6 linked regions of the Danio rerio genome follow. The protein of the gene in region 6 interacts with the protein of the main gene of each other region in a pairwise test. Links are inferred from orthologs where the notes say so. Each region holds a gene or a part of one and is shown on either strand. Other genes may lie near its edges. The genes, in order: atpaf2, pitx1, arhgef3, cdr2a, gpank1 and trim23.

Region 1 (4,216 bases), on a different chromosome or scaffold from region 6:
TAGTGTCTGTTTCTAAAAACTTCAGAGCGGCAGAGATCATCTGTTCTTTTGTCCTTTGTGTTGGATTATCAAGAGCAGTGTTACAAAGGGTGGTCTGTAGGGACAGAAATCAGTCTATTAGATTCTGCTATTCATTTAACATTATGAATGTTGGGAATACTGGGAATGAATGTACTATCAGAATATACACACACTGATTTTATATGTACTTGTGACAATGTTTTAGATACATTATCCATTAGTATTTAATAATAAATATCTTTATTTAACCAGGTAAATCAATTAAGAGAACCAATTCTCATCTAAAATGACAACCAGGTGAAGAAAAAAGACACATGCAAATAATAACATATAAAAAATAGATAAATAAATAAAAAAAACTAGGAGCAAATGCAAATATCTTTAACTACATAAAAGGTCAGTTCACCCCAAAATGAAAATTATGTTATTAATAGGGTGGAACCGATTTGGAATTTTTGACCGACAACAATAACCGATAACTATTTAGAATGGGGTATATGCACACAATCTTTTAATTTCAGCCTAACAGGGCCTCCGTCTTTCCATTATAAAGTTGCCATGTTTGAGGTCAGTTTTTTTGTTTGTTTTTTAATCAGTGACCTTCACTGCCTGATAGATATAGATATATGAGTCTCAGACAAAAAGCACTGCGTTAAATTCTATTCCCCCGTCATATCTTTAAAATATAACAATTAATTTCACCCCAGTATAGGAGTTTCTGCGCTCGCCTGCTGATCCTGATGGCGCTAGCGGTTACACAATCTTTCATCTTGTTTTATGGTTGAACAACTAAATGAATGCTTGTATCTATTTAACTGAATGTTTTGTCATCAATGCATCGATAGTGTAAAACATCGATGCTGTAAAAGGAACCTTATGAAAATGAAAAGTCACATTAAGCTTTTTCAAAATGAAATGTGCATCTTGGCGTTTTCATCAACCGGTTTTCTATGCGCATATTGCAAAATTACCATAAAAATAGGTGGATGGAAACATAGATGAATGAATAGGAAAAGACACAATATGCAGACATTTTTTGCAATTTCTGCAGAGATTGATTTTAGGAGTATCATAACTACAGCATTAATATATTAAATAAAAAACAACACATTTTTTAATTTTATTTAATGTTTACAGTGCAAATCCAATTGCATCCACCTATTTGGTAAAGAAAGCAATACATCATATACCTACAAAAAGACAGAAAATATTACATTACTAACTGTATTGTTAATAAATCATATGAACATTTTAATAGTACTATTATTATAACACAATAATATTAGTGAAATTAATAAAAAAAAAAAAACTAAATAAATATAAATTCACACACAATTAAACAAGTGAATACAGTAAATACACCGAATGATGGGCTAAAGATCTGCGGAAATCTGCAGATTTCTGTACACGCATATTCCGTGTGGGCCTACTAATGAGGTGATAAACCGCTGAATGAAGTAAGTATTTTTTCTTTAAGTGTGCACAAAAGTACATTGCTGTCTATATGAAGGGTGAGTGAGCTCTCAGATTCCATCTAAAATATCTTAATCTGTGTTCCAAAGATGAAAGAAAGTCCCAGAGTATTGTTGTTGACCAAATTATAATTTTTGGCTGAACTACCCCTTTAACTGAATAGAATTTTTAAATGATTAAAATAGAATTTAAAAAAAAACTAAGCTTTCAGTTTTATTTATACCTAAAATCTGTACTTTTTAGGGGGTTCTTGAATGGAATCGTCTGCAGCAGAAAATTAAAAAGAAAAAACACCAAAAAAGTACAGATTTTGGGTATAAATAAAGGTACTAGTCTTGTAGACTTGTAATACTGTAAGTTTCAGTTCTGAAGAGTGTATAAAAATATGTGTTCCATGCTACTATGTATGTATTATAGATACATTTGAATGTACTCTGTAGACAGTTGTAGAATAAAACTTTCAAATATACTAGTAGTACTTGGGAAACCAAAATATAGTATAATAATAATAATATAATATAAATTAAAAATAATATCCTACCAAGTGCATAGTGTAAAACTTCAATGTGTCCTTTTGAACGTCCCACTCATTTGCAACAGCAATGGCAAGAGCTTCATTGGGAACTGTGAATAGTTTTCCACTTGGGGTCTTCAGCTTTCTCTTATCAAGGTTTATTTCAAACAAGCCACCTATAAACAAGAAAATCTGTGTTTTCATATGAGCAAACCCTCGATCTTCATCATTGAAAACATGTTTCTTTTAAGGTGCTGTTATGGCCATCAGTACTGAATGATGCTCACCTTCACCTTGAGTTATAGATACAGTCTCGTAGAACTTTTTCCTCTCTGCAAAACACAATGCAAGTACAAAGATATTAATATATTTGTTTATCATTTTAAGTTATTTTTTTCTTTTTATATCTTACCTGCTGTAGCACTGCTATATTTTGCCTTTTGTAGCTGTGTTGATAAACTGGGAACATGCTTCACGTAAGAAAATGAAAACGGCCAAATAATTGCCTGGCCAAACTTTGTGTGATACCGACATATATTTCGTAGCATATTTTAAACGTTATGTGTGTAAATTTGTATTTGTATTGATGCCACAGTTTAGGCGTGATAAGCCATTCAGTCAAGGTTAAAAAGCCGGATATGGTGTTATATTAAATTTGACAATGCATTTTTCATGTTTTAATCGTATAAATTACAAGAAATGAGTATATCTGAGATAAACTCAATTATTCAAGCAAATACACTAGAAGGTATTTAAAGGCATGCAGCAAAGTGAAAACAGCGTGCCGTAAAGTGGACTGACGATGACCTAAACAGGAAAAAGCATAGAGGATAATTCATAATAAAAGTCCATAGCTATATAAATATCTATGAGAAAAGTCCAACATTTCGAACATTCATTTAGCGCCAAACTTTCAGAATGGGTTACCAGGGACAAAAGAGAGTGATATACCTATTAAAATATTTTGATTTTAATAATTAAAAATAGCAATTGAATAATTAAAAAGATTAAAATAATTCTATATAGTTTTTAAATAATAAGCACACATTATAATACAAAATAAAAGAGAAACAGAAACAAATTGATAAAACAGCATAATAATTAAACGATTATTAAATATTTAATAGCATACAATACATTATTATATTTTATTTAAATAAAATAAAACAATAAATTATATATCAAAATAAAATAAAACAAATAAGAATATAATAATAAAAAATTTCAGTTTTCAAAACATTAACTTCAGGTAACTTCCTTAATTTTTTTTAACAAAAATGTTTATGTTTTAATGTGGGGGCAATGATATTAAAATGTTTGTGGCATCTAAAAGTTGGGCGGGAAAGTCCTGCTCTAAATATTAAAAATTAACATAGCTTTAAATAACTTAAAATATTTGTTAAAAATGTTATTCTTAAATACATTTTTTGGAATATTTAAATGAATATATTAGTGAATATTTATATGTTGCTACTATAAACTGGTTTATTCACCTTTCTTTTGCTTCAGTTTTATTATCTCTATCTTATATGTTTTTTTCTTTCTTTCTTTCATTAATTTGTTGGTTTGTTAAAACATGGAAAAAATTACACAATTTATAGAGCAGACATTTACATTACACTTAGTTATTACCTAATTATTTATCTACTATGTACAAGACAAATGCAAAAAGAATTAAATAATATCTTGTTTTAAAATCTTCATGTTTATTATCAGTTTGTTCTGCTTATTTAATTTATTTTATATATTCTAGAGAAAGAGAGAGAAATAAATAAATCAAATAAAAAGAAAAATAATACATAAAATAAAAATCATTAATTTCAAGTATACAAAAACCCTCCAGGGACACACATGAGTTGATGGGGCAGCAGTAGGGTAATGCACCAGAACTGATCTAAGGAACAGCATAGCGCCCTCTTTTGGTTGTGTTTCTGATTTGTTTGATTGTCCTCTGTTCTTCAGCATGATAAAAACATTTCATTATCAACATTAACTAATTCCACAATGAATATATATATATATATATATATATATATATATATATATATATATATATATATATATATATATATATATTGGCCTATATATTAGTGAAATAGACTAAAGAATCTAAAAAGGATTATATTGTTCTTTTGAAATATCACAGATTTCACCAATATATGAATAAATAAGAGATATAAATTGAAACATAAGTCTATAGTTTATCTA
Region 2 (4,158 bases), on a different chromosome or scaffold from region 6:
TAAAGTTTAAACAGTTTCATAAACATCATTCGTTCATTTACTCTTTTATTTATTATTTTTATTTATTTAAAGGCCTGTTACTTTATTATTTTATTTACTATATTGTGGTTATTGTGCTCGCGATAGACACTGTTTTCACATGCATGGCATTAAATAGCAGTCATGTAAATGTCGGCGCTCATCTGTTCATTGTTTTGTTTTATTTGACCGGGTCTGTGCATCGAGTTTTTGTTTAGTTTCCTATTTTTCTTCTTTAAAAAATTCATAATATGTGTTCGATAAATAAAATACACACCGAGGTTCAAGAACAGAGACAGACTTCTTAGCACTAATGTAGACTTATATAGTGTTAAATATTAAAATGATCGGCTTCCGCCGCCCAATGCACTTATATTTGGAAACATGAGGTGAAGTCGCCAGGAATGGGATATATAATATGGGCTTATTGTGACAGCTTCATTGTCAGTCAGAAAACATCTCGCTTTCCCGTCTGATTGTTCTCTGCGGGGTTTTCTGCCGTCGGTGGCGCCTGCTGGATGGGCAGAACACAACGCTGCAGGACGGGGAAGATCCGAGCATGGGTTCATCATGAAAATAACCTCAAGAGCCTTGTTCACCGCCGTTTCTGAACATACATGCTCTGCGGAGAATGCACTCAGTGTAAGAAACAGCCCGTATTTTCTGTAAATATTATATTGTATTATTTATGAAAACGGTCTGGCTTCTGTTCTCCTCCACTGGCATTTAGTTCAGCTCATGTTGATTTAGCGCTTTAACAATGTAGACTGTGTCAAAGCAGCTTAATATAGAAGTTCACTGAAACTGAGTCAGTGCAGGTTTTATTTATTAAAATAAATTATATTTTTATTAATAATATTTATTAATATTTTATTACTAATAAAATCTGCTGATAACATGCACGTTTTGTAAATGTATTTATTTTTGTTAGCCTAAGCATTACACAAATGTGGCATTTAATTACATTGTTTTTGGTCGTTTTATTGATATTCAAGTTATTCTGAATTAGACTACTCTGAATATCGCAATATTACAGTATTATATTGCGCGCACCAGTATTATTTAGTATTGTATATACATTTTTATATTTACAAAATAATCGCTTTAAAAGCATCATAATTGACAAAGAGGTAAAGATTTTTTAGCTTGCAATACTTACATTTTATATATATATATATATATATATATATATATATATATATATATATATATATATATATATATATATATACATATATATATATATATATATATATATATATATATATATATATATATATATATATATATATATATATATATATGCACACACACCCATACACAATGCTTTATTTAATGTTATTGCAGTATTTAAAACATGAATAATAATGATAATAATTTTCATATTGTGTCTTCGGTATCTCCTATTTTTAAGAATTTGCCATAATCATAATTCTAGCTTAGTTGAAGCACATAATTGCACATTAATAGCCTCGGCTGTGTCACTTCTGAGCGGAAAATGACTTGAGCATAAACACACGCATTAAAGGGCAGAAGAGCGGAATCCAGTGGACGGGTCTGAAACTCTTGCGCTGATATACGACAAGAACTCAATGAAGAACTTAGGGAATGTTTCAGAGTCAGGAGCATATATTTGCATACATTTTAGGAAAATTAAACTGACAGGACGCCTTTTAGAAACATTTAAAGAGTTCACGGTGGACAACTCCGACACATCGAGCTGAATATTAATCTCCGTCTGTTGAAGGCTTTAAAATACTCCAGTTTTCCTCATTGTCAGTTCAGATATTTCAGGCTTTGTCGCATGCTGAGCTACACTTATATTGAGGTACATTCTAAACACAGAGTTTATTGTTGATTAATTAGTAACAGATAATAGATAATAATAATAAGAAGAAGAATAATAAGAATACAAATTTAGTAACAAAATAATTCAATGTTGTGTAGTAATTTTCCTGGAAGCTTGTGGGTTTTGCAGGCTCAGAATTAATGTGGTTTCGTTTCAGACGATGGAACAGCTCATCTGTATACTTTGTTTTATAATTATTTGGGTTATTATTAAATTGCATTAATACATTTGTTATCAATAATAGGACTGTTAAACATTCACGAGGGGAAGCTGCATGCTAATTTAATGACGACTGAATAGTGTGCATTAATTAACCGCAGGTCTTGTTTATTTGAGTATTTACTGAATTAAGCGTTGAAGCGTTTATAAACCGCATTAATATGCGTCGCACAGCGTCCAAAACATGCTCAAACCTGCTCAAATCAGGAATCTGTTGTGATGAACTCTGGCTATTTTGTCTTGTAACATGTAGACCTAAAGTTCAGGGAATATTGTGTGTGTTTGTGTGTCTGCACAGCCCGTGCGCAACTGCAGTACAGTGAGTCCATGTGTGTTTACTGAGGTTTGCTCTGCATCTGTAAGCACAGCAGGATGACCAGACACTATCCAGCTCAAATACAGCTATATATATATATATATATATATATATATATATATATATATATATATATATATATATATATATATATATATATGTATAGCAGAACACGAACTATAATACACAATGCAATGATATTCACGCCACAGTTAGGCCTACCACTCTCACACACACACACACACACACACACACACACACACACACTGTAAAGCGACTCACGTGTCAGTTCTGTGATATTCTGCGAGCTGCTTGTTCTCGTGTGTTAAATGGTTTCCATGCATTTATTATCTATAGTTCCTCAAATGCGCGCGTGTAAGCAACCGTAAAGTTTCTGCGCGGGAAGATGCGCCACCGCAGACACTATCAGGTAGGTCGCGTGACGTCACTCCGCCGCCCGCATGACGTCATGCGTGCGCGATCTGCCGTGAGAAACGCATGATGGAGGTGACGCTGCAGAGCTCTTCATCACTGTTTGATTCTGTTAGACTCTGCGATTCAGAGAAATCCGTTTTGTTATCGTGTTCTCCACTGAAATCCGTTTATTACGCATTTAAAACACTGAGGAAAAACCTTCACACGCTTTACATTTCATTTGTCGATACAGTCTTGTGTTAAATCAATGTTGGGTAAAATTTTTACAAACCCAACAATGGTCAATATTTTATTTCAACTAGCTGACATTTAAATGACACATTTTAACCCAACTTTGGGGTTTGTCTGTATTTGACCCAACGTCGGAATATAATTCAGCATTTTCAGACATTTATCGGAGTGACTTTACGCGTTTAAAATGATGAAATAATAAATATTCTAACAGTAATTAATTAGTTTATAGCAATATAATGCGTTAAACAGCGCTCTTACACGACATCAAAACTGAGGAAACCAGCAAAGCTGTTTACAACGAAGAAACACAATTATTAAATGAAATAAATTATGAATTATAACTGATTAGAGCTAGTTCATCAATATATTTTGCCTTCTGTGTTTGCATGTTTCTCTATAATTACATGCTATAATAATTAAAGCACAAATAGGCGAACAGATCATAGTAACCCGCACATGCGCTGCAGAATAAATGTGTGAAGCCGTTTACAATCTCACAGTCCCCAAATTAATTATCAGATTTCTCATGTTGGTTTATGACTGCCAGAGCTTCAAGCATTGTAAACTGCTCATTATTTATCTCTAATGTGCTTTTATATTTCTGCTATTTTATGATGGCATATTATTTATTAGTATAAATTAAAAGCTCTCCATCTGCGCTTGCATGCGTGCATGAGTCTCATTATGAGGTATATTTGATTGAGATATTGCCAGATCCAGAAAGCATGTGCAGTTTTATTATTTTATGTTTGAATGTTTTGGCATTTCATCATTATGCATAACATTAAATACACAGACAGCGTTTATTATCTATTAATAAGAGTTCATATTAACTTAAGAATAACAATAATTATTATTAAAAATCGACTCATTTTAAACTGTACATGGCTGCATATCTTTGCATTATTAATAATCTGTAATCTGCCTTATTAATCCTCTGGTCTGCTGTGTTCGGGCTGTGGCTCGGTTCGCATGTGCTCTGTGTAAATGTGTTATTTCCATCGTTTCCAGCTTCTCTGCTCAGTCTGAGCTCCTCTGTTTATTTGCTGAGATTATTGTCTGACCTCCAGACTGAGTTTAGCATGAA
Region 3 (4,169 bases), on a different chromosome or scaffold from region 6:
AATAGGAAGTAATCTGCATCGTTTTAAACTGTGCACACCTGTAGCTGCTTAACTAGGCCTATGACGCTATTTTTTAATACTGGTTAAAAAATTGCGTCGTAAGGTGGTACTTGGAGAGACGATTTTTTTCTAAGGTGGTACTTGGTGAAAAAAGTTTGAGAACCACTGTTCTAGCCCAAATAAAACAAATCAGACTTTCTCCAGAAGAACAAACATTATCAGACACACTGTGAACATTTCCTCAATCTGTTCAACATCATCTGGCGAATATTTAAACAAGAAGAAAGTAATTTGAAGGGGGCGAATAATTCTGACTTCAGCTGCATATTTATATATATATATATGTTTACAAATTTAAGTGGATTGAACAACCATTAAGTTGTCTAGAACAGTAGTGTAAGTAGTTTAAACATGCAGCAATAGACATTGTTGGAGTGTACACAATAAAGCATTACACTATTTTATTATTATTAATGGGTTAAAATAACCAGCTTGGCTCAATATTGTGACACTACTGCATAAAAGTTTAAGAAATGAATTGCAACATGAAGATCTGATACTGGCAGAAACCTAGCTTTAAGAGGTCTAACACAACACCTGTAAAACCCCGGACAGGTGAGCGATCTGTCTCCTGATGGTTCATCTGTCCACCTGGCTTACAACTTCATATCTGTCTAGATGAGTGACGTCTGAACCCCACCAGTTCACTGAGACATCTGCTGCAGTATCTAAATATACAGAGAATAAAAGTATAGGCCTACCCGTGCTGGCCACAGCTGTCATGACAGACTCGCACATGTCTAATCATACACAACTCAAACCAACTACTGCTATACACTGAAAACAAGAGCAGGAGCCAGAAATGAGCAGAGCAGAGCAGACCTCCAGCACTCAACAACACAAGAGAACCAGCTCTACACTTAATGCCACATGCACATTTGTTTTATTTGGGCTAGAATAAAAGCAGTTTTTAATAGTTTAAGCTCAATATTATTCGCCCCTTTAAGCTATATTTGTTTTGGATAGTCTACAGAACAAACCATCGTTATACAATAACTTGCCTAATTACCCTAACCTGCCTAGTTACCCTAATTACCCTAGTGAAGCCTTTACATGTCACTTTAAGCTGTATAGAAGTGTCTTGAAGAATATCTAGTCTAATATTATTTACTGTCATCATGACAAAGAGGAAATAAATCAGTTATTAGAGATAAGTTATTAACACTGTTATGATTAGACATGTGCTGGAGAAATCTGCTCTCCGTTACACAGAAATTGAGGAATAAAATAAGCAGGGGGTGAATAATTCTGACCTCAGCTCTATGAAGATGTATCAAGTGTGTGCATAGTACATATTAAGATTAAATGGTGTGATCTGTATTATTGCATTGTAAAATGTTCTCTAAACAGTTCATTTCCATTCAAAAGTGTTTCATTTTATTTACAAGTTCTTCAAACGTATCTGAACTTTACTATATGCGATCTTTACACCATTGAAAGCACATTTAAAATAATGTTCCCATAATTATACAATACAATGCTTCCAGTTTTCACTAACATTGACAATAACCAACAACAACAACAACAACAATATAGACCAGCGAAAAAAAGTTCATTGCAAATTCTATAAGCTGAATTTTATTAATTCATTTTCTTTTTACTCCCTTTATTAATCTGGGGCCACAGTGGAATGAACCGCCAACTTATCTAGTATGTTTTACATAGTGGATGCCCTTCCAACTGCAACCCATCAGTGGGAAACCCCCATACACACACTTATACACTACGGCCAGTGTAGTTGATCAGTTCCCCTATAGTGCATGTGTTTGGACTGTGGGGGAAACCGGAGCACCCGAAGGAAACCCACACCAACACGGGGAGAACATGCAAACTCCACAAACTGACCTAGCTGAGACTCGAACCAGCAACCTTCTTGCTGTGAGGGGGATTGTGCAACCCATCGCGTCGCCCTAAGCTGAATTTAAACAAATTAGGTTGAAGATTACTACATGTGATTTGTTTGTTTAAATTCAGCCGATGTAAAGAGTTTACAAGCAAAACTTAACTTTAAACATTGAGTAAAGCAATGCAGCTTTTGTTCAGTACAGTACTGCTTTAATGGACACTGAAATGATCATTTAGATCTCAAATAGTCACTAATTTTCCCTTCTTAATGGTGGCATGTTAAAAACCAATGAGTCCTGAAGAAATGTGTCCCAAACACAATATAGAAATCAGTAAATCATGTGGGTTTGAGGGTAAAATCTGATGGTCTGTAATGGTTTTATTCAGATTTTCAAAGACAAAAATAATTTATGTAATGTTGAAGACATTAAAAAATCCCAAATGTTGGATTAAATGGGAATGTAAGAGCGTCTTTTGTTGACTGGATAAACACTGACCAGCTCTTCTAATTAGAGGACACTAAGGTTTTGAGGCTCTTCATGTTGACATGATGATCATGCTTAAACAGCCAACAGTTGAAGTGGACCAAAATAAAGTGGAGAGAACTATTCAACACCCATTTGAAGAACTTGTTCTGATTGACTTCACATGTTGAGCACTGTATATTCGCTTCATATGGAAATAAACAGTAACAGTACTCACCCTGATGCTTCATCTCCTCCAGCACTCATTGAAACTGTTGATATCCAGACAGCAGAGATCCACCATTGGTCATCGATCAGTAATATGCAGCAGTTTCATAGATACATTAGTCCTGAAATCATTTAGAGAATGGGTTTAAACAGACACAAACAATAAGCAGAGCTCTCCTATGAGCCGCTCGCAGTGTTGTGACACGACACACTCCTCCTCTCGGTCGGATGGGAGAGGTTTGCCGATGACAGATCACCCGGGGCGGCAGTGGGTGAGTGCAGTCCTGTCCTACTGAAACCCACAGCAGCTCACATGGAAAATCCCCGCTCAATATTCATGCATGAAAATGCCAATACAGATGCTTACAGCGTCACAGGATTTATGTTGCTGATATTATCTAAAGGTATATCAGACCTTTTATTAAATGCATTCTTTTCATAAGATGCAGTAAAGTTATGAATTTTATTAGCAATTGTGAAAATATTTTACAAAAAAAAAAAAAAGCGAGAGATCACGTGTTCAGCCATTTCCCCATCTGACCTCGCATTTAACGATGATTAATGTATAAAGCAGACCCGGATGCTGTCTGTTCAATGTAAACGCCTTATTTAAAATAACTTCAGCTCGTAGTTTGCAGTTGACAAAAAGTCGGAGAAGTTAAAACTCAGAGCAAGATGGCGGACTGACCTCCAGGAGGCGCTGCGCTGCGGAATATCGCTCCACATGCCGTCTGGGGTGTTTCCGTGTATGAGTTTTTGAGTAAGGAGCTGGATTTTTCTGTTAAAATGCCTCTGAAGAGAGTTGTGATTGTGCCTGGGAACGGCGCAGGAGATGTTGAGCGTAGCAACTGGTACGGATGGGCCAACAAACGAATAAATGAGGTACGGTCAGGTCACCGAGAGAATGCAATAACACAGACACGTGTCATCTATAACGAGGTGAAGCTTTTATTCGCACATTCAGACTTTCTCCTTAATAATACAATTTCATAAAAGTATTATTGGCAAACTCTAAATAGTGAAATCATATTAGCAGCTATTGATTATTAAAGTACAGCATTGATGACAGTCAAATAAACAGTGTTGATGTTGTGTTGAAGTCATCATTGCGTGCTAACACTGATCGAATATTCACAGTAGCATGATAAACAATATAGAGACTGCTAAATGAGCCAATGTGCGAATATAAACCAACTCTACCTCTGTGTCCTCTATTATAACATCTACACAGACAGTTTCCACCTGACCTGACCCAGTTCATCTGAAGCCTGATCATATTTAAAAATCGATCAGTTTATTGAAACTTTGCAAAATGTAAAATAACACAAGTGCTGCATGTTTTTATTGATTGATTGAACATAAAACTATAAACAGGAATAAACAGCTGTCTCAACTCGCACTGATGCGGTTACTCATCTAACAATACGAATACAGAGTGAGATCTTGTAAATTTATCACATCCTTTAAAGCACAGGTGTCAAACTCAGTTCCTGGAGGGCCGCAAGTCTGGCCAGTTTAGTTCCAACCCTAATTAAACACACCTGATCAAACTAATTGAGTCCTTCAGGCTTG
Region 4 (3,455 bases), on a different chromosome or scaffold from region 6:
TTTGTTTGCACTCAGTGATGTTGAATTTGAAATGAAATGAAACAAAAACATGTGGTTGTTGCATAGGCTAATGATGTTTTCTGCAAATGACCAAAGTATTTTTATGAGCTGAAAGGCAGAATGCGAGTGTTTTCATCAAGCTCGACATTATATAACAGTTTCAGGTTGGGTTTTAGTGTTTGTAACATGTGACACACATTGTGACATGCGGTTTCACTTTTGACAGGCGGAGCTGGAGGCCGAGGTGGAGGAGCTGCGTCTGCTGTGGCGCTCCGAGTCTTCCAGCTCCAGACTGACCGACACGCTGCTGCCTGACAGTGTTTTCTTCAGTGCAGAGGAGCGGCTGGGGGTGGAGCCTGAATGTGAGGAGGAGGCGGAGTTTCCTCAGGGGCGCTGCCGCTGCAGCAGTGATAGTTACGTCAGAGGAGCTCGAGCGGAGGAGATCCGGCGTGGACACGAGCGCTCCTGCATTCGCAGAGCTCAGGCCGTCAAGCAGCGCGGCATCTCTCTGCTCAATGAGGTGGACGCTCAGTACAGCGCCCTGCAGCTCAAATACGAGGAGCTGCTGCGCCGCTGCCAGCACGGGGCCAACAGCCTCAGCCATAAAGCCGTCCAGACGCCCAAATCCCAGAGCTGCTCCGCCACAGACACCGCCTGCCTCTCCGACCAGCTCCATCAGCCCGAGTACAAAGCCCTGTTCAAAGAGATCTTCACCTGCATTCAGAAGACCAAAGAGGACCTGAGTGAGAACAGGGCTTTGCAGGCCCAGTAAGGTGTGGCTGTTTTAAAGGGGGAGTTCACCCAAAATTCTGATGAAATTCTGTCACCATTTACTCATCATTTGCTTGTTGCAAAACGGTTTGGGTTTCTTTCCTCTGTTGAACACTAAGGAAGATGAACTGAAGAGTGCTGAACAGAAAAGAGGATATCTTGAAGAATGCTGGGAAAACATCCATTGACATCCATAGTATTTGTTTGTTCCTACTATGGATGCCAATGGCTGCTTTTTCCCAACATTTTTCTTGTTTTGCGTTCAACAGAAGAAGCACTTGAGTAAATTATGAGTAAATGGTCATTGTTTTTGGGTGATCTGTCCCTTTAAGTTGAGTGTAGTGACTTTGCACTTGCTAATGTGATTTAACAGTGTGTTTGTGTGTGTGTCTATTGCACTATAACAGCTGTGCCTATACACAGTATACAACACCAAACCGTCCACATCCAGAACCTGAATGGTCTGAATGGGGTTTTTCTACTTTTATACGTCTTACTCTAATGAACGACACACACAAGCTGTGTGAATCAGCCATACCAGACGCCTGAGATACATCAGGTTTGGAGGAAGACTATTGTTATTAGTACTAACAACTACATAACACAGTTATGGAACTAACTTGATGTACATGATATACCATAATATTGGTGAACCTCACACAAGCTGCTAAAATGAGGTTTTACATCGAAAAATACAACAAAAACAACAAAAAAGCAATTGACATTGTAAATTTGAGCCAGTTTTTTAGGAAAATTTAACGTTTTTGTTGTTGTGTTTGAAATTACACGTTATCTTCATGACGAATGCCCCTAGTGCTGTGGCAATCATTTGGAGGAATGGATTTTACGATTGCGAAGTGCATTTCTATTCTATCTTGAATCGGCTCTGAGCTTAGTTTTCAACAGCAGATGGCACTCTAGGCTAGTATTTAGCAGCAGACAGGCTAGCTATAGCAACACACGGCATTCTGGACTAATTTTGAAAAGCCTAGAGCACCCTCTAATGTTAAAAATTAGCCTACATTTCCCATCTATTGTTAAAAACTAGCCTAAATCGCTGTCTAATTTTACAAACTAGCCTATCTGCTATAGCCAAAATTGCCATTTAATGTTAAAAACTAGCAAATGCTGTTAAAAACTAGCCTAAATCGCCATCTTATGTTAAGAATTAGCCTAAAGCCCCTTCTATTGTTTACAACTAGCCTAAATCGCTGTCTAATGTCAAAAACTAGCCATCTGCCGTTAAACAAGCCTAGAGTCCAATCTATTGTTAAAAAAATAGCCTAAGTTGCCATTGCTAATGTTAAAACTAGCCTATCTAATGTTAAAAACTAGCCTAGATCGCAGTCTGCTGTAAAACAAATTGCCTAGAGTGCCATCTACTGTTTAAAAAAAATTAGTCTAGAGTGCCTTCTACTGTTAATCTAACATTAAAAAACTAGCCTAGAGTGCCATCTAGTGTTAAAAATTAGCCTAGAGCACCACCTAATGATTAAAAACTAGCATAGAGCACCATGTTTTTTAAAAACTAGCCTAGAGTGCCATCTAATGATTAAACACTAGCCTAGAGTACCATCTAATGTTAAAAAACTAGCTTAGAGTCCCATCTATTGTTAAAAACTAGCATAAATTGCTATTTTTTAAAACTAGCCTAGCTGCTGTTAAAAGCTAGCTTAAATTGCCATTAAATGTTAAAATCCAGCCTAAAGCCCCCTCTATTGATAACAACTAGCCTAAATCGCAGTCTAATGTTAAAAACTAGCCGATCTTCTGTTAAACAAGACTAGAGCACCATCTAATACTAAAAACTAACCTAAAGTTCAAACTATTGTTATAAAAATGCCTAAATTGCTATTGCTAATGTTAAAAACTAGCCTATCTGATGTTAAAAACTAGCCTAGAGCGTCATCTGCTGTTAAACACTAAGCTCAAAGTTGATTCAATCGAGAATAATGCATTTAGAAAATCTTAGAATGGGTTTCTCCAATTTTTTGCAACAGCTTTATATCCCCAATTCTATTTGCATATTTAAAAAAATAATAATCTAAATGCCATTACATTAATGCACAAATTAAATTTGTAAAAAAAAAAAATATCTGAGAAGTATTTAATGCGCTAATTTAAAATCTAAGATTGTGCGAGAAAACACTGTTACAGGAATAATAGTAATAAAAAAAAATTGACAAGCTTTTTATAACGGAATATGAACCAGATATTCTTTTATGAGAGTCATTTGATAAACATTAGAAATATATACGTATATAAACAAAATGGAATTCAGTAGGACCGTGTATGTAGCCTTAGATTTTAAGTGTCTAGACATTTCACATGCAATACTTATTAACTTATAATAGAAAATGCTGCATGTGATTTCGATGACGTTACTAACGGTGATCTCTTGTATTCGAGCAATACTGTTTGCTGTTTTGCTGCTTCTTTACCTCAGTGCTTTGATATGCTAGCGGAATCAGCTCCTGTCAATGTAAACGATATGCTTGAAAATCTGTGTAAATAGTTTGTTCGGATCAAATCGTGGCTCTGCGTTCGCAAACACACTCACTCTAGCTAATAGTCTCAAGCACTTTTTGTTTTGGCGTTCATGTAAACACCACTGTGATACTATGCACTTTAGACAGACCTGTGGTCAGTTTTTGGATTTTTGAGTTACGTTTTTATTTATTTAT
Region 5 (4,175 bases), on a different chromosome or scaffold from region 6:
AGAGGTCTTTCAGGGCCCGAATGTTGCCTTCCTGGGCGCACTGCAGGAGTTTGTGTCCATCACGCTCCGTGCAAACTGGCTGCACAGTGGAAGCTTCTAGCCTTCTTGCTTCTCTTCTTCTTCGATTGGGTTCTTGTGTCAAAAGATATTGGAAGATCATGATAAATCTGTATAACAATGAGTGTTTTAAACGTCATTTTTTTAAACTAAACTTTAAGGAAAATAAATGACAGAGATTAAATGTATCAAAGAGGAAAAACACCAATTGTTAATCTACACTTACAGTTGAAGTCAGAATTATTAGCCCCCTTTAAATTTATTTTTCTTTTTTAAATATTTCCCAAATGATGTTTAACAGAGCAAGGAAATTTTCACAGTATGTCTGATGATGTTTTTTTTCTTTTCAGAGGATGTCTTATTTGTTTTATTTTAGCTAGAATAAAAGCAGTTTTAATAAAAATAAAGAAATAAATAATCATTTTAAGGACAAACTTATTAGCCCCTTTAAGCAAATTTTTTTGATAGTCTACAGAACAAACCATCGTTATACAATAACTTGCCTATTTACCCTAACCTGTAACCTAAGATAATTAACCTAGCTAAGTCTTTAAATGTCAGTTTAAGCTGTCTTGAAAATGTCTAGTAAAATATTATTTACTGTCATTATGGCAAATATAAAAAAACAGTTATTAGAGATGAGTTATAAAAACTATTATGTTTAGACGTGTTGAAAAAATCTTCTTTCGGTTTAACAGAAACTGTGAAAACAATAAACAGGGGGGCTAATTGTATATGTACTACACAAACTACAATTTTATATAGATTTTGCATGTTCTGTCAAATTTGTTTTGATGTAAAATTTTTATTAATCATGATACATTTGAAAAGCGTATGTTTTTTCGCTGTTCCTCTCTATACACACCAGGCAATTTTTTATAAACACTGCAATTCTGAGTGATCTACTCTCAGAGGACAGGGTATTTTTTTTAGTTTTTCTGATTCTTTTATTTGAGTTGACCATTATCAATTGAATAAATGTAACAATATGCTGTAGCAGTTGAAAATTAGATTTTTGTTTAACCAATTTACACATTGATGTAAAAGACACAACATGTAAGATTTTTTCTTAAATATATACAAAAACCACTAGAACAATGTTATGTATTAATTTTCCAGACTTATGTACTAACAATATCCCTAACATTTAGAAGTATGTTAAAGTCCAGAGAAATAAGCATTTTTAACTAGTGACACAGAACATGTCCTGTGTGGCCATGCTAATGGTTTCACACACCCTTAGTTTCCAGTTTGGTTTCACCAAGCACCAAAGATGTTTTAATATGGTGTGTGTTTTATTACACTGCACAATGCAGCTTTAGAACAGAATCTTAAAATGTTTTTAAGAAAAAAAAAAAAACATAAAAATTTTAATTTGAAAAAACAGCAATGTTTTTTATACCCACATGATCATGACCAGTAGAACCAGAAGCAGTCGACTCTGGAATAATAAAAGTTAACTTCGTTTGTGCCAAGTCATTTTACTTCAACGGCTTTTACTCTTAAGCCCTTAATGTTTTGGACAACAAACTTTTTTTAGTGGTCTAAGGCAGTGTATTAAAACTGTTTTCTATTGCCCACAAGCATTTTGCATGCTGTTTATGTGCCCCAGGAAGGGCCCCTCGTGTTCTAACCGGCTGCTGCTTTTCACGTTTTTGACCTTTGAATACTTTCTCTCACATGATTTCCACAGAAGTCCTGTAGAATGTAATAAAGACAAAAACTGTTTCCACACTCAGTCACAGCGTCATCAGTTGCGAATGCACACACTTGTGGCAAAATGAAATACTGTGTCATACAAAAAATCCAGTTAATTTAAGTTGTTGTGACTAAGAAAATTTTAAAAGACACTAAATTAAAATACATCAGTGCATAATCAAATATCAGATAGTAATTTGACAATTCTACCTGTTCGTCTTTTTGCTCTTCTACTTGCTGCTGCTTCTCCATCTCTTGGCCTTTCTCTATCTCTCTCTTGTAAGAGGCTTTGGTAAAAGTCTCTGGCCTCAACCCCAGAAATTGTTTGCTTGTCTTCTTTCTTTTTTTCTATCCAGAGCGTCTCCTCTTGTTTGGCTCTGGTGAAGTAGACTGGGTTGTTCATCTTTAACACTTTGCTATTAAATAGACAAATGAAAAATCCTACGACTGCAGCTCATGCCCAAGATACTAAAATCAAGAGGAGACAAAAAGAGGTCATTTTCATATCAGTTAAAAAGTAACCATCCATTAATTTACAGGGCAGTCTTTTTACGTTACTTAGATTCTGTCAATTGTGTCTTGAACGTGTATCCTAACATTTGTTTCTGTAATGTAATGATAACTGCCATCAAAGCTTATGTTTGTAGTTGCGTAATAAATGTTTAGTCGAACTATTAATGAGTCTGATCATTTTGTCAAAAAAAATGTCAACAGCTCTTACACAGTTAACGTTGTAACTATGAAATTCTGGTTTTCGGCTAAATGAATTTCTAGTCAATTAGGATAGTAAATGTCTAGGATTATGGTGTTACTGTAATCGAGATATGATGCATCCCACTTTACGCTGATACAATTATTAATACAGCCTTAAATCTATATAGTTACAACAATTATATCAAAGAAAAGATAAACACGTCCAAATTAAACCCAAGGTAATGAACACACACTTACGTCCAGTAAACCCAAGGTAATGAACACACACTTACGTCCAGTAAACACAACGCTCTCATTCTTGTGTCGATTTTTGACTATTACTTTGTAGCAGTGCCACCAACTGGTCTGGAGTGTGAAACTTTGCTTCTCTTGAAATCTCTTGATTTCTAAATTTGCATTGAAAACCTAATGTCTTCTTAAAATTAGGATTTACTGATATTTTATATAATTACCCTGCTGAAGAATCCAGCTTAGACCAGCCTATGATGGTTGGCTGGTTTTAGTTGGTCAACCAGCCTGGTTTTAGAAACAAGCCAAGCAAGACGTCTTGGGAGCCCAGCCAAAACCAGCTATGCCCAGCTTAAACCAGGCTGGTCAAGTTGGTTTTAGCTGGTCATTTTCCAGCCTGACCCACTAAGACCAGGCTAGAAATGCCTGGAAACCAGCCTGAAAATGGCCAAAACCCCTCCTAAAACCAGGCTGGTCAACCAGTTTAAACCGGCCAACATGCTAAAGTTCCCTACAATAAGGTTTGTTAACTAAAATAATTTAACAACATTTGTTAAAATCAACTGTGAACACGCATTTATTAATCTTAATATCAATTTTTACTAGAAACATTTGAAAAACCAAAGATGTAATCAGTGCATTAGTTAAAACAAAGAAACACTGATGCGAGCATTATGAATTTTTATTGAAATTATTAGTGTCAAAATGTATTCAATGCTGGAACTCTGGAACTGCTGTTTGACAAAAATAATGTATTTGAAAAAGTGACCCATGAACAAAATGATACAAAAAAGATTGCTTGTACAAAAGTACTTTTGGTTAAATTTAGTAATTTCCTCCCATTATGCCATTATTGAAACCACAAGTATTGATTGTGAGAGTTGGTAATTTTCTGAAAAATATACCACTTAAAAAGTGATATGCAAAGATATTTTCAGAAAATGTTGGCTCAGCTGTACTGACATAATTAAACTGCTTTTCTCCAAATAAACACCAGGACTGAAATAAACGATTGTTCTAAACTTCACCATCAAACAGAGAGGGTAGAAAACTTTAGACAGTAATGAACATGGGAACAGTCACAGACATCAGCCTGAGCGAGAGGTGATGATGCTCTCTCTCCTCTGTCCTTTAACTAACACCTACAAAGACACTTAATGATGTAAAAATCTGCCAGAAACAATAATCAGAACTGTTTGACTTGCATTTGGCCTAAATCACCAACGAGCCTTGATAATCCTTTTGAAAAAAAAAAAAAAAGTATGCAGTATTCTGCTGGAAGCTTCTGAATCTGTGAATGTGGGGGGTATGGTTACTTTAAGCAATTATAAGAAACATTTGAAGATAAACATGCAAATAAAATGCAAACCAATAGAAGTGACCCCAATCGCTTCATAAAACATTACATTTTGGCCCAACAGTTTGATTAAGTACTTGATTTGAATAGCCTGACTCATTTAATACCTTATTAGGTCCAC
Region 6 (4,231 bases):
AACAAGTTGACACAAACCAGTGCTAATGCTGTTTGCAAGTGAAATAGGGAACTAAGTAATTTTGACAATCTTTAAACTAATGACTTTTATTAAAATGGTCAAAAGGGTTTTGTGACATAATATACAACGAAGCATTAATTAAATGCATATTTTCAGTGGAGCATTCGATTTAATAGTCTGATATTTTTGTTTGACGGAAGAAAAAAACATTGGAAAAAACAGCCTATGCCAGTTTTTAAAAAGGATACAATCAGTGTTTTCGTTTTGTAATCTAAATTTGTCATTTAGGTGAAAGATATCTATGGCAGGCTTGTTTATTTGTTTATTTAGTTTATTCTTTTTTTTTTCTATGCTGTTAGAAACAATGCAGGTGCGTGAAGTTGCTCTTTTATGTTTTGTATGCTGCTGTTTGCATGATAAAATAAATCAGTATTTTAAATATATTTAATGGGCTCACAAAAAGGACGCCTCAATAAATTTTATTATTAAATAATATTTTCTGCTATCTTCATTAGTTTCAAAAACAAAGATTTCTTGTGGTAACTTGAAAAGGCATGTTTGTAGATATTTTCTGCTGGAGATACTATTGTTTTAAAAACAAAATGTAAAAAACAAAACGTACATATACAGTAGGAACAGTAGAGCAGAAAATTTTGTCAGTCTTAAAACTTTTGAGTTTTCTAAACTACGGTAGAGATCTGCGTGGAACTGAATTTTTAGTCCCACTCCCTCCAGTTTTTAATTCCGCTCCTGACCGCTCGCGCTGTATATTTAGCCTTTGATGCTGCGAAGCCCACCCCATTTCCCGGTTGGAAAGCGATCAGTAAGTGAATAGCAGGGGTGAGGGGGTATAAGAGATCAATAATTGAAAGACGGCAGGCCAGAGTCACAGTGGTAGGTAGATTGACTGTCAGGTCACCAGGAAATGTCCCGGTGCTCCCTATGACCAGTCCGCCTCTGCTTATGCATAAGAGAGAAGAGCGGCTATTTATACCAAAGCACAGTGGTGGAAAAAAGTCAAAATATGGCAAATGCACTTAAAACACATTTTTTGCCTTGTTTGTGCTTGTGCAGCTACAGAAAAGCATAAAACAATGCCATTTTTAAAATAAACTTATGATTAAAAACCACATAGTGTAAGGAGGAACAAGTTGGACAAAGAGGATTCTATCCCCATAATCACTGCCAAGATTTTGTTTTTAAACTCATTTAGAGATCCATTTAGGACAGATGGTATGGAATCTGAAATGCAGCACATTAGATCATGTTTATACTTCATTTTTTGTTTGTAGCTATATTGCTAATATAAAAAAAAACTGTAAATTTGAAAAATGTACACTTCTAACCTCTCCCATCTCACGAAGCGCATCCTCCGACATGCCTGACTGATTGGTTGCCCCATTCTGTAGCCGTTCAAGCAGTTCTAGCAAGGCAAAGTTCTTCTTCAGGCCCCACACACCTGAGTCTCCTGGAGAGCAAAACAAGAATATGATTCTTCCCAGTATGGAAATTTTTAAATATTGAGTTACATTGTTATTATAGTGAACAGAAAGGCAAACTCACCCAGCTCAGTGACCTGTCTATCAAAGGGGCAGCGTACTGCCCTGCCGTGGAGAGGCAGTCGTGTCAAGCAGTCGTGACACACCGTGTGTCCACACAGCAGCAGTCGTGGTACCTTATCACCTTGTAGTGAAAACACATCCTCACACACACCACACTCCAACACCTTTAAGTCAACAAAAAAAACATGTATTTCTTACAGGAAATGTTGCAGATTATTATTTGTGTAGACATTTCTGAGTGAATTTTATTTTAATAAAAAGACAGGCCTTTAACTTACATGATGTCCACAAATAGAAAATAACAAACAACCAATCCTTCAATTAGTTTGAGACTGACAAAATCAAGTCCCATCCCACATTTTTAACATGCTGAATCACTAGTATATGCACATAACAATAATGAAGAATATCATCACATCCTTCATTTTAAATTATTAACTTCTCATTCAAAAAGCCAATTAAGCTTTTGTTAATTACAATTTATTTGTTATTTGAAAAAATATTTCAGCAAAAACAAAGAATAAAATTAAATTCTAAAACGTTTATATTATATATTATAATATATAATAACAATTGTTATATTATACAAAACGCATACGTACGTTCATAAAAGCTAACATTTAATTTAATATCGAAAGAATGTTATAATAAACTTGGGGGAACTAGCATGACGTATGTCATTAATTCTGCAACATTTAGACCTATTGCCTTATGTTCAGCCATAACTTATAACTACATCTCCTAATTGCTTTCTAGTTGACGTTAAATGATAAAAGTGTTGAAGATATGAAGCTCACACTCTTTCTATGGACCAGTTGATCATTTAGCCAAGCCGGCTAACCCATTCTGCACAACTCATTTAATAACGGCAGAGTTATCAATACAACACATTTTTTCATACTTACGACTTGTTTTTTACAGTGTCGGGCGTTTTAAAAATAGGTGTGTGACATCTTATTTAATGTAAGAAACGCTGTGACAGTTTTGAATGATGCTATCATTAGCCTGCTAACGCCCTGCAGAATCTCACTGAACTCCACCTAGACAGGTTAAAAATAACGTCTCTTACGTGATCGTTGTTAGCTAAACATCTAGTATAGTTGTTATTTATTTAATATGCATCATACCTTCACCGCATTAGCGGCAGTTCCTCGGCCGTGTCTCACACACGATTCCATCGACGCCTGTTTATTTACACCGACAGCAGCGGCCATCCTCGGACTGAACCATCTAATGACACTTTAGTGTGAACATGGCATAGTAATTTAGCTCTATTTTAGGCTGTCATGTGGTAATAAAAATTACTTTAAAATTATATTTTTAAGCTGTATCGCGAATGTTTGTATTATGTCTCAATTAAATTATACCAATCGTGTAACTCTGTCACCCATGTATAACAGTGGATCAGTCTGTCAGCTGTTTCCTGTGCGAGTACGCGCTCATCAAATGTTACAGCCCGAAATAAATACATATGAAAATTAGGGTTAATTTACCAAATATTGCTTAACTGACTCGTATGAAGTTAAAACGTTGTATAGTGTTGTCTTAAAGTGAAAATAAACATGTTTCAAAACATTGCATTTTTGTTATTTTTTTATTATTTAAAATGTGTCTAAATGACAAAAAATACACATTAAACTTGGAGGAAACATCAACAGCTTTAGAAAGTTGAAAAATCAATATTTGGTGGAATAACACCAATTTTCAGTCAACAAAATTTGAGAACATCTGACCAACTGTAATTTTCTGGGGACTATTTAGGCCTGTAGCCAGCCTGGTAAAAGGGGTGGTTCTTTTTTTCTCAAAAAGTGGACCTTTTTGCACTTATACGCCTCAGTTTTCTATTTAACTACGAGATTTAAATACTGCATTTTAGTGATATGTTGATGGATTAATATGGAATCAGATAAGTCTCAAAAGAAATTCACGCAAAAGACATGATGTACACATGCGTAGCCAAATTCACGTGCATAAAACCAAATTCACTTGCGTAAAATATTTATTTATATTCACAAAAAAAATTCACGTGCACAAAATAAAAATGCATTTTCATAAAATACGTTTCACAAATGCAAAACACAATTTGCAAATGTATAAGAGTGTACAAAAAGTTTTGAATGTTTAAAACTTGCGAGTTCATCCTGAATGAGAATGTGCAAATCCTCTTTCACGTACGACTCCCCCTGGATACTTGTGTGTGTATTTTTGAGACTGTCCTGCCAGAGGCAGGGCAACTCGTACCTTTCAGCCAATCAGACGAGAGCTGTAGTCGATGACACCCACTCTGCGCTCCATTTGCGCAGACTGTTCCTCTCTCATGAGGGATTTATCACTTAAACTCTTTTTGTCTAAAACTGAAAGTTTATCACAATCGGTGTATCTTGCTAAAGTATTGGATGTACCAAAATCCGTTATTTAAAAAAAATTATTTAGGGATGTTTAATTTTATATGGAAAAACAAACCTCATTATTTAAATAGAAATATTTTATGTAATTCATATAATCAAGGAGGTTTGAATTTGCTTGATTTTGATACTTCCAATACATTTTTTTAAGTTGAATTGGATTAAACATTATATCAAGCACAAAAATGAAATATGGTGTATAATCCCAAACCTTATTTTTGAAAAACTTGGTGGTTTAGGGTTTCTTTTGAAGTGTGACTTTGA

The links.
Region 1: the proteins of trim23 (region 6) and atpaf2 interact in binary tests that used the Homo sapiens proteins (3 or more experiments, as listed by UniProt). The two-hybrid records come from large-scale screens. The link is inferred for Danio rerio from reciprocal best matches to the Homo sapiens genes TRIM23 and ATPAF2.
Region 2: the proteins of trim23 (region 6) and pitx1 interact in binary tests that used the Homo sapiens proteins (3 or more experiments, as listed by UniProt). The link is inferred for Danio rerio from reciprocal best matches to the Homo sapiens genes TRIM23 and PITX1.
Region 3: the proteins of trim23 (region 6) and arhgef3 interact in binary tests that used the Homo sapiens proteins (3 or more experiments, as listed by UniProt). The link is inferred for Danio rerio from reciprocal best matches to the Homo sapiens genes TRIM23 and ARHGEF3.
Region 4: the proteins of trim23 (region 6) and cdr2a interact in binary tests that used the Homo sapiens proteins (3 or more experiments, as listed by UniProt). The two-hybrid records come from large-scale screens. The link is inferred for Danio rerio from reciprocal best matches to the Homo sapiens genes TRIM23 and CDR2.
Region 5: the proteins of trim23 (region 6) and gpank1 interact in binary tests that used the Homo sapiens proteins (3 or more experiments, as listed by UniProt). The link is inferred for Danio rerio from reciprocal best matches to the Homo sapiens genes TRIM23 and GPANK1.

Annotation. Positions count from the first base shown.
Region 1 is NC_133187.1:20,034,788-20,039,003, forward strand, and holds the start of atpaf2 (ATP synthase mitochondrial F1 complex assembly factor 2), read right to left. Parts: upstream 2,801-4,216; 5' UTR 2,557-2,800; coding exon 2,421-2,556; intron 2,341-2,420; coding exon 2,296-2,340; intron 2,185-2,295; coding exon 2,036-2,184; intron 95-2,035; coding exon 1-94. UniProt on the Homo sapiens protein: Plays a role in the assembly of the F1 component of the mitochondrial ATP synthase (ATPase).
Region 2 is NC_133196.1:50,075,241-50,079,398, reverse strand, and holds the start of pitx1 (pituitary homeobox 1), read right to left. Parts: upstream 2,801-4,158; 5' UTR 2,685-2,800; intron 1-2,684. UniProt on the Homo sapiens protein: Sequence-specific transcription factor that binds gene promoters and activates their transcription. May play a role in the development of anterior structures, and in particular, the brain and facies and in specifying the identity or structure of hindlimb.
Region 3 is NC_133197.1:41,151,534-41,155,702, reverse strand, and holds the start of arhgef3 (rho guanine nucleotide exchange factor 3), read right to left. Parts: upstream 2,801-4,169; 5' UTR 2,637-2,800; coding exon 2,608-2,636; intron 1-2,607. Other genes in the region: serine hydrolase RBBP9, read left to right, coding at 3,384-3,479. UniProt on the Homo sapiens protein: Acts as a guanine nucleotide exchange factor (GEF) for RhoA and RhoB GTPases.
Region 4 is NC_133178.1:62,630,171-62,633,625, reverse strand, and holds part of cdr2a (cerebellar degeneration-related protein 2), read left to right. Parts: intron 1-226; coding exon 227-772; 3' UTR 773-3,455.
Region 5 is NC_133176.1:27,689,677-27,693,851, forward strand, and holds the start of gpank1 (G patch domain and ankyrin repeat-containing protein 1), read right to left. Parts: upstream 2,801-4,175; 5' UTR 2,742-2,800; exon of another isoform or gene 2,707-2,741; intron 2,224-2,706; 5' UTR 2,159-2,223; coding exon 1,966-2,158; intron 133-1,965; coding exon 1-132.
Region 6 is NC_133185.1:12,496,240-12,500,470, forward strand, and holds the start of trim23 (E3 ubiquitin-protein ligase TRIM23), read right to left. Parts: upstream 2,801-4,231; 5' UTR 2,777-2,800; coding exon of another isoform or gene 2,690-2,776; intron 1,727-2,689; coding exon of another isoform or gene 1,564-1,726; intron 1,469-1,563; coding exon of another isoform or gene 1,347-1,468; intron 1-1,346.